Linked DNA regions of Drosophila melanogaster. The protein of the gene in region 2 purifies or fractionates together with the protein of the main gene of each other region. This does not show direct contact. Each region holds a gene or a part of one and is shown on either strand. Other genes may lie near its edges. The genes, in order: Uba1 and ben.

Evidence for each region.
Region 1: the proteins of ben (region 2) and Uba1 purify together in Drosophila melanogaster (affinity purification with mass spectrometry, with the first as the bait; one large-scale study listed by BioGRID). This does not show direct contact.

What each region holds. Positions count from the first base shown.
Region 1 is NT_033778.4:9,691,526-9,695,450, reverse strand, and holds the start of Uba1 (ubiquitin activating enzyme 1), read left to right. Parts: upstream 1-2,122; 5' UTR 2,123-2,410; coding exon 2,411-3,169; intron 3,170-3,747; coding exon 3,748-3,925.
Region 2 is NC_004354.4:13,994,464-13,998,388, reverse strand, and holds the start of ben (bendless), read right to left. Parts: upstream 2,045-3,925; 5' UTR 1,866-2,044; intron 1,774-1,865; exon of another isoform or gene 1,592-1,773; intron 295-1,591; 5' UTR 229-294; coding exon 1-228. UniProt on the Drosophila melanogaster protein: Catalyzes the covalent attachment of ubiquitin to other proteins.

The DNA.
Region 1 (3,925 bases), on a different chromosome or scaffold from region 2:
AGGCATTTCTACCCTGCCAGCCGCTGACAGCGGCGAAATTAATAGTGCCAGCCATTTTTTCAGCGGCTTTTCATATTCAAATTACATTCCCAATTGATTAATGGTTGAATATTTGCATAGGGATGATGCGTGGCCATATGTGATGTGCTTAATTAGGGAGGGCGGAGTGCATTCCACATATGTACATACGTATGCATGTTTATATCTCTTCGGGGGCACGCGATGCAGAATATTTGGAGGACAGATGGGCAGCAGACACCCCCGCTCATTCGCTGCAGGATCAGTATGCTAATTTGGCAGGAATTTGTGTTTTTCGGGTTATACCACGCGACAAGGACGTGGAACACACCGCACGCGATAAAGTCCGCGGCTAGTTTCTCGATCCTATCGAGATCGGACTAAAATTAGAGCGTCGGAGGAGGGAGGGGGGAATTTCTAAAACGGGAGCAGCATTTCGCGCAGCTGTAGGCGTAAATTAAAATGCATTTTACGCAACTGTGCGACAAGATCCGGGCTTTAGATCCTGCAGCTGTTGCCCCTCGTACTGCATTTTCCTAATGGCACGCTCTCAACACTTGAAAAGGACACACCCCCGCCGCTCGGAAAACTGGTATAGGATAGCTCTCTGTTTTTCGTGGAAATTTACGCATTTTCATGCTCGACTACCGTTGCACAGAACAGAAAGGGAACCCCGACCGAAAATAGATTAGCCGCTCTCAAAGGATATTGAACCCGGCCAGGACCAAGCGACACCGAAGGACTTCGCCGTGGGTCAGTTGGTGTTGGTTTGTGGGACAACTGCCGAGGGGCGCGTGCCACGATCGGGGTTTTTGGGCCAGGATAATTGCCTCAAGTGCCGACAGATTGATGACCAGCAAACTCATTGAAGTATATATTTCAATTTCGAGCTAATGGCTTAGAAGTTGATGAAATCGGAGAGTAAAGAATTATTAAATTTAAGTTTTTTGAACACACATCTATTAAGAGGTTGTTCTACGTTTGAAATATGTATTTGCTAAATTAACTTTCAATCGATATTATGTCACTCACAAAAACGAATATTCCAATATATTTTATTTATTCAAAATATTGTGAATATTGCTTTATTTATAGAAGAAGGGAACACAATTTTTGAATTGTTTAGAAAAATAAGAACGATCTATTAAATGGCATAATTCAAAAATATCAAGTTTAAGCCATATACATGTATAAGTTACTTTTAAGTTTGACCAGTACAAAGTATATAGGAATTTATAATGGGGAAGCCAAGCTATATTATAATGAATAATTATTATTATTATAATGAATAATATCAAGATATCAGGGTTGTGCTTGCACCACAATTATGAAAAATAAAGTAATGACCCAGAAGTCTGTTATCATCTATTTATAAGCAGTTTGAAACAAATTAAAACCCACTTTAAATTTTATCAAATAAATATATTACCAATATACATTTAAATTTCGAACATTACATAGCAAAAAAATGTCAATTGAAATCAACAAATTTTTGAAAATGCGAGCCATATTTTCATTAAACGAGCTTGTATTTTTTGAACCCGAACCGTTTTTTTTTTCAAGTTTAAAAAGAATTAACTAACTCTAACAAAATCTAATATTTCAGTCGGTGTAGTAAAAACATAAACATAAACGATTTCAAATGTATCCTGAATACGCGGTAAACTTGTGTTTACCAACACCGCCTCTTAGACTATTCAGGCCTGCCAGATCTCCAAAAAAATATTATTTAGATAAGTTAGTGACACAAAAGGTTTAAGTCTTAACTGCGCTTAGCTGGGCTTTAAACCCACTGCCTATTCTTTGCTAATTGGAGTATTGCAAATCAGTTTTGAATCTGATTTATTTGTCCCGCTTACCAATTTTAATTGTGTAAATTCATTTGGTTTTACTTGGCCAACTTACAAATAATAGAATAATAAAAATGAAAGCCGTCTGTTTAATTATTAAAATAATGTGAATTAATTGGATTATTAATCTGGGCGTTATTATATAGAAAAGAAACCTAACTAACCAATTGCGGAAATATCGATAGCATCGCAATAAAATCTATATTGTGCCACCTCCAATTCACACAGGTCGGTCACACTGGGCAGGCTTGCCAATTTCAAGAGCCGCGGCCACACTACTGCGAATTCTATACTGCAACTCGATCGTGCGTGTTCTGTATTTTTGGGAGTGCGTTGTTAGAAATTCGGCCACAAATAGAATCCGCTGTCCTGGAACGAGTCAGAAACCACGGGAAATTGACTTCCGGACTAAATAGCGTTCTTGTGTGTCCATCCGTGTGCGTGTGTCCGCATTCTGCAGTGTGCGTGTGTGCGAAAGAGAGAGGGCGAGCGGTGCAGCCGCAACTGGGAAATTCGATTGCCAATATTTCAGCAAGGAAGCTATGTCGAGCGGTCAGCAATTGATGGCCGATTCGCCAGCCTGCAGCTCAAGTGACCATTCGCCGCTGGCCAAAAAAAGGCGTTTAGAGTTGTTGGGTGACGGAGTGGGGGCAATGGGAATGGAAGAGGAAGAAGCCGGCGGAGCAACGAGCAGCAGTAGCAGCAACAACTACGAAAATCACGACAAAGCAGGCGGCGTTGACATTTCGGGCAAGTGCCAGAGCAAGACGACTAGCGAGCACCAGCTGGAATTGTGCGTATCGTCGTCTACCTCTGACACATGCGGCGTTAATGCTGCGGCGAAGCGAGCCGAAAAGCAGAAACTGAAACAGAGCCAAGGAAGCGGCGACGACGTTAGTACCTCGTCAGCAGTGGAAAAGGAAGGAAGCAAGCGGCCGGAGAAGCGCAATTACCTGAACACCACCACAATAGAATCGCAAGAAGCCTCCTCCAGTGCATCCGCCACTAGCAACAGCAACAACAACGTCAGCTCCAGCAACAATAACAGTAATAACAGCACTAATAACCGACAACTGGAAGGAAGCAGCAACATGGCTGGAAACAGTGCCGCCGCCGGCGGAGATATCGATGAATCGCTGTACTCGCGCCAATTGTACGTCCTGGGTCACGATGCGATGCGTCGGATGGCCAATTCGGATATCCTTCTGTCGGGACTTGGAGGACTCGGCCTGGAGATAGCCAAGAATGTGATTCTGGGCGGCGTGAAATCGATCACCTTGCATGACACAGCAACTTGTGGGGTATGTGTGTGGGGCGAAGAAAAAATCGATAATTTTCCAGGCGGACGCGGGAAATGCCCGGAAAGGCTGACTTGGCATCCCTGGTCTTAGTGAATCATTCAGTTTTTATTTGATTTATTTATCATAGACTTCGCGCGAAATAAGGTTAGGTTAACATCTCTATTTGCTTGCAAAAAATTCGTTTTGTGTGTGTAATTCGGTTTTCCTTCTTTTTCTATTTGCCTCAAAATGTCTGCGCCATGCGAAAAGTGTGTGAGCGGGACAACCGTATGCGCATCGCTCGCTGCCGTTGTGTTTGCATTCCCCTTTGCTCAACGCATTCGGTTTTGTTTTATGCACTGAAAGATTCAACTTAAGATCTATGAGTTTCTCATAAACCGTAATATATCAATTATTTAGTTAATAGCCTTTCAATTTAAAGTTTTCTTGTATCATAAAAACTTTTTTGTTCTAATGACAAATATGTCTTTGCTGTACACTCGGCACAGAACCAATTTTCCTTTGTTAGTCATGGCTCCCGTCTGCTAATTTCATCACCGTTGATATATAATATTAATGATTATTCGTTTGTCTTGCAGCTCCATGACTTGTCGTCGCAATTCTATCTCACGGAAGCCGATATCGGCAAGAATCGTGCGGAGGCCTCTTGCGCCCAGTTGGCCGAGTTAAACAACTATGTGCGCACCGTTTCGCACACGGGGCCGCTTACCGAGGAGTTCCTGCGCAAGTTTCGCGTTGTGGTACTGACCAACTCCG
Region 2 (3,925 bases):
GTAGATCTTCGTGATGAAGCGCACTTTGGGCGCTGACATTGGATAGTCCTCCGGTAGGAACAGCTCCAGCTTGAACACGCCGCCCTCGAAGGGCGAATCGTTCGGTCCGGTCACGATCACATGGAAGTAACGGGCATTGTTCTCATCGGGAATGGCATTGATCCCAGGCACTGGCTCCTGCATCAAACGTTGAGTCTCCTTGATGATGCGACGTGGCAGGCTGGACATCGTTTAGCTGGTTCCTTTTACGCGGTGAACTGGAAACGCGGGTTGAGTCTGGACCTTCTCGTTGAGCTGCAAACGAGATCGGAGTGAAGTTAACCAATTAAGTAGTTCCTCGGTATCATCCACTATCCACTCAACGTTAATTAAGACTATAAATTAGTATCCCTAATGTTTACAGTCGTGGTTTCAACTGTGAAATTAAACTAATTACTAATTTAAATAAGGGCTCAACTACATGTATCGGTGAAATAGTAGCATTAGTAAATTGGAGTTTCACTTGGTTTTCTTGGGGAAGAGCGTGGCAAGTCAAAGAGAATTTTCCTTTTTGCAGCTCAAGGTCGTTCTTTATGGGGATGCGTGTGTGCAGGGTTGGGTGGATTTTGGTCTGATACGTGGCTTTCACTTTCCCCAAGAAAGTTTTACTACAGAATTTAGCATGCCACAAAGATGTCTCTATGTGGCTAAAAAAAAAAATAAACTAATTCAAAATATGTTGTATATTTAAAGATGTTTTCAAATTGTAGTACTTAATAATATTTATATTGAAGTATATGAACGGAATTCAAAGTTATTAACTTGATTCTGGATATCTAGACTATATTGTAAACCAATATTTTCAATATTTTCTGGATTTATTTCCGTTACACTTTTTGCGAAGTTCAAAATAAATTTCTGCTTGTGTAAGTCAAAGCCCACCCACTATTGCCAACTCCTTTAGCGTGACCTTGCGGCTCCTTTAACTGTTTACATTTCCCAGACACACGGAAAATCAAGTAAAATAAAGAGGAGAAGGGGAAAGAAAGACGCAGATAAACCAGAAACAAAAGGCAATAAATGAATGCCCCAAAATTTCCAGAAATTGTATTGCGAAAGCAACAACAACAGCAACGAAAAACACTCGAAGCAAACAAAAGAAATTGCGTTATTAACGCGAAAACAGCAATAATTTAACCATAATGTGCGGCGTTTCGCTGTTTTACCAACTTATTGATTTCCCTTTTGGGTGACAAATGCACGTAGTTCCGCAGAGGAAGAAGAAGCAGATTGGACAGGAGGAATGCGGAGGGGGAGAAACGGGGTGAACCGCTTGAAAAATCAATAATGTTGGCAATTAAACTACAAAAAAAAAACCAAATAAGATTTTTCTTTTTTACAAGCAACAATTTCGCTTGCATACGCACACACACAGACACAGCGAGTCACGCACCCACGCACACAGACAAAATGCAGACAACGCGCACGAAAAAGACAAAGGCGAAAAGAGAATATGCGGATGGGTGAGACAAAGAGGGCGAGTCAAGAAAAGAAGAAAAGCAAACGCCGCTTTTTTGGCGAATTTAAGTTAATAGAAAAAAACGGCGAATACTTGGTGCGAACGCCGCAATTATTATTTTTCACACACACACACATATATATTCGATTTATCAACTTTTACGGCTTTTTTCTTGCTCTTCTTCGATATTATATTAAATTTTATCTGCTGCCTCTGCTTCTTCTGCTGCTGCTGCTCCTGCTTTTTTTTTGCTGCTGTTGTTGTTGTTGTTCTCACTTTGGTATTTTTTCGGGCATTTACAACATTTTTGGACAAAAACAATGGTTTTTAGATAAAGTATGCAACTTTCGATAAAACACAAACTCACATCGTAACAGCGCCAAGTTATTGCTGAACTTTATTTGCAGTTATGGCCGATAACTTCGTTGGCAAACTGATAAAATTCGATTTTGCAGGCAGCTCCACCACAAAAATTATGAATGTCGAACACACTCGAAAAAAAATGTAGCCGTTTGGTAGTGTGTGTGTGCGTTGCTGTGACTAACGTGCGTCTGTGTGGCGTGCGTGTGAGCGGCAATGTCAAAATGACAGGGTTGCTAGGGTGCCTAGATGTGAATTCAATTTTTTTGCAACACGTTTGCACCTCCTTCTCAGTTTAATTTCAGTACAAATATATCTTTAAATATTTTCTTTGCTACTCATCTTGTTTTTTATCCCATTTTTCCATTTTTGCGCAGGTAATTTTATTGTTCGCACTAGTAAAAACGCATTTTCGGTGACAACTCTAGCGCTTAGCGGCTGTCAAATAGGACAGTGTTTCATAGCAATCAGCTCTTCGGCACGCTACAACCCAAGGTTTTGGAGCGCTTAGCTTTTTTCTGTCAGAAATTTTGATTGGAAAATTGGCGGGACAAATCCAGTTGAAAGAAACACGAAAGAGAAGTAACAAAAAGTGTAAGTTCCCGGGAATAAGCAATAAATTTAGTCGGGATTTATTTAATCGACGACTTTGATCTTTGTTTTCGTTGCTTAAAACCAATGCTTTGCATTTTTAATATTCATCAGATGTAACCTAACTTCATACCTAAGGTAAATACATCTAAAATTCTCGAGAAATTTGGTCATTTATGTCAGCACTTTATAAAGCGATATTTGAACTGCATATTAGCACTTATTAATATGGTTTTATGTTCTTTTTAACATCATAACCATGTGTTTCCCAAAAACTTTTATCACAATAAGACTTATAATAAAAAAAAATTGCATGCAAATTAAAATAAATTTTATTTCTTTAGTATTATTCGATAGCAAATTAATGATTAAAAAAATGATTGTACATAGGTTTCGTTATTTAACAAGTCTAAAAGGAGCCGGTACAGGATTCCAATCAGACACGTGCAAAAACATAAACCCAAAAAGCGAGATAGCAACAACAACAAATTGTCAATTTACTGTAATCAACATTTATGCGTTTTTAAAAAGAGAGGCTGTCCGAACACACACACACAACTGCGCACTTGCACTCACACCCACACACCTCGAATGCAATGCCCAATGGACGCACAAGAAGCCGAAATGAGCAACAACAAAAACCACAAGGCGGAAGGCAGAAAACTAAAATACAAAAAAAAACAAGCGAAACCTCTCGCTCGCACACACACATGCTATTTACCATTCGTATTCGTTCGATTGCATAGGCCGGTTGCATGTGTGTGTGCGAGTGTGAGATAAAAACAAACACCAACTGCAAAAGGGCAACAAAACCAACAACAGCAAGACAGCCATAAGCATTACACACACCGCACACAAACACACACACACACGTGCGATCTCCGTTTTTAGGCTGGCCAAACCAACAACAACGACTGTAGTCCAGCCCACAAGTGAGAGCGAGAGAGAGCAACCTGCCTCTTTTCTGCTTTGCTGTTTATCTGTTTTTCTGCTGCAACTGCGCTGCTTTTCCCTACGCAGTGCACGTGTGTGTGTGTGTGTGTGAAAGTGTGTGGGTTGGTGCGAGAGGGGATGAAAGAGCAAGAGAGGGCGGAACGGGGGCGACCTTTATTCGCTCTTGAGCTGCAGCTGTTTTTAGTGCCTTCCTCTATGTATTTTTACGCTCGATATGGCCAAATTCTAACCGCTACAGCTGATCTTCAAAGGAATGTGATAGAAAGTGAGGGGGGAAAGGGGAGAAGAAATTGATAGAGAAGACGAGGTGAAGAGTGTAAGAAGACATTCAAATCGAAGGACGTTTTAAAGTTCTGCTACAAAGTGAAGATTTAGTCGAAAAAGAAAGACTAGTATAGCCACTTCTTTAGTGGTAGAATATAATGAAATTCTCTTGGTTTTCGTACAATAAGTCATTGAAATAATAGATGTATCTATGTACATATGTACATACATATATCGGAATAGAAAACCTCAATGCAT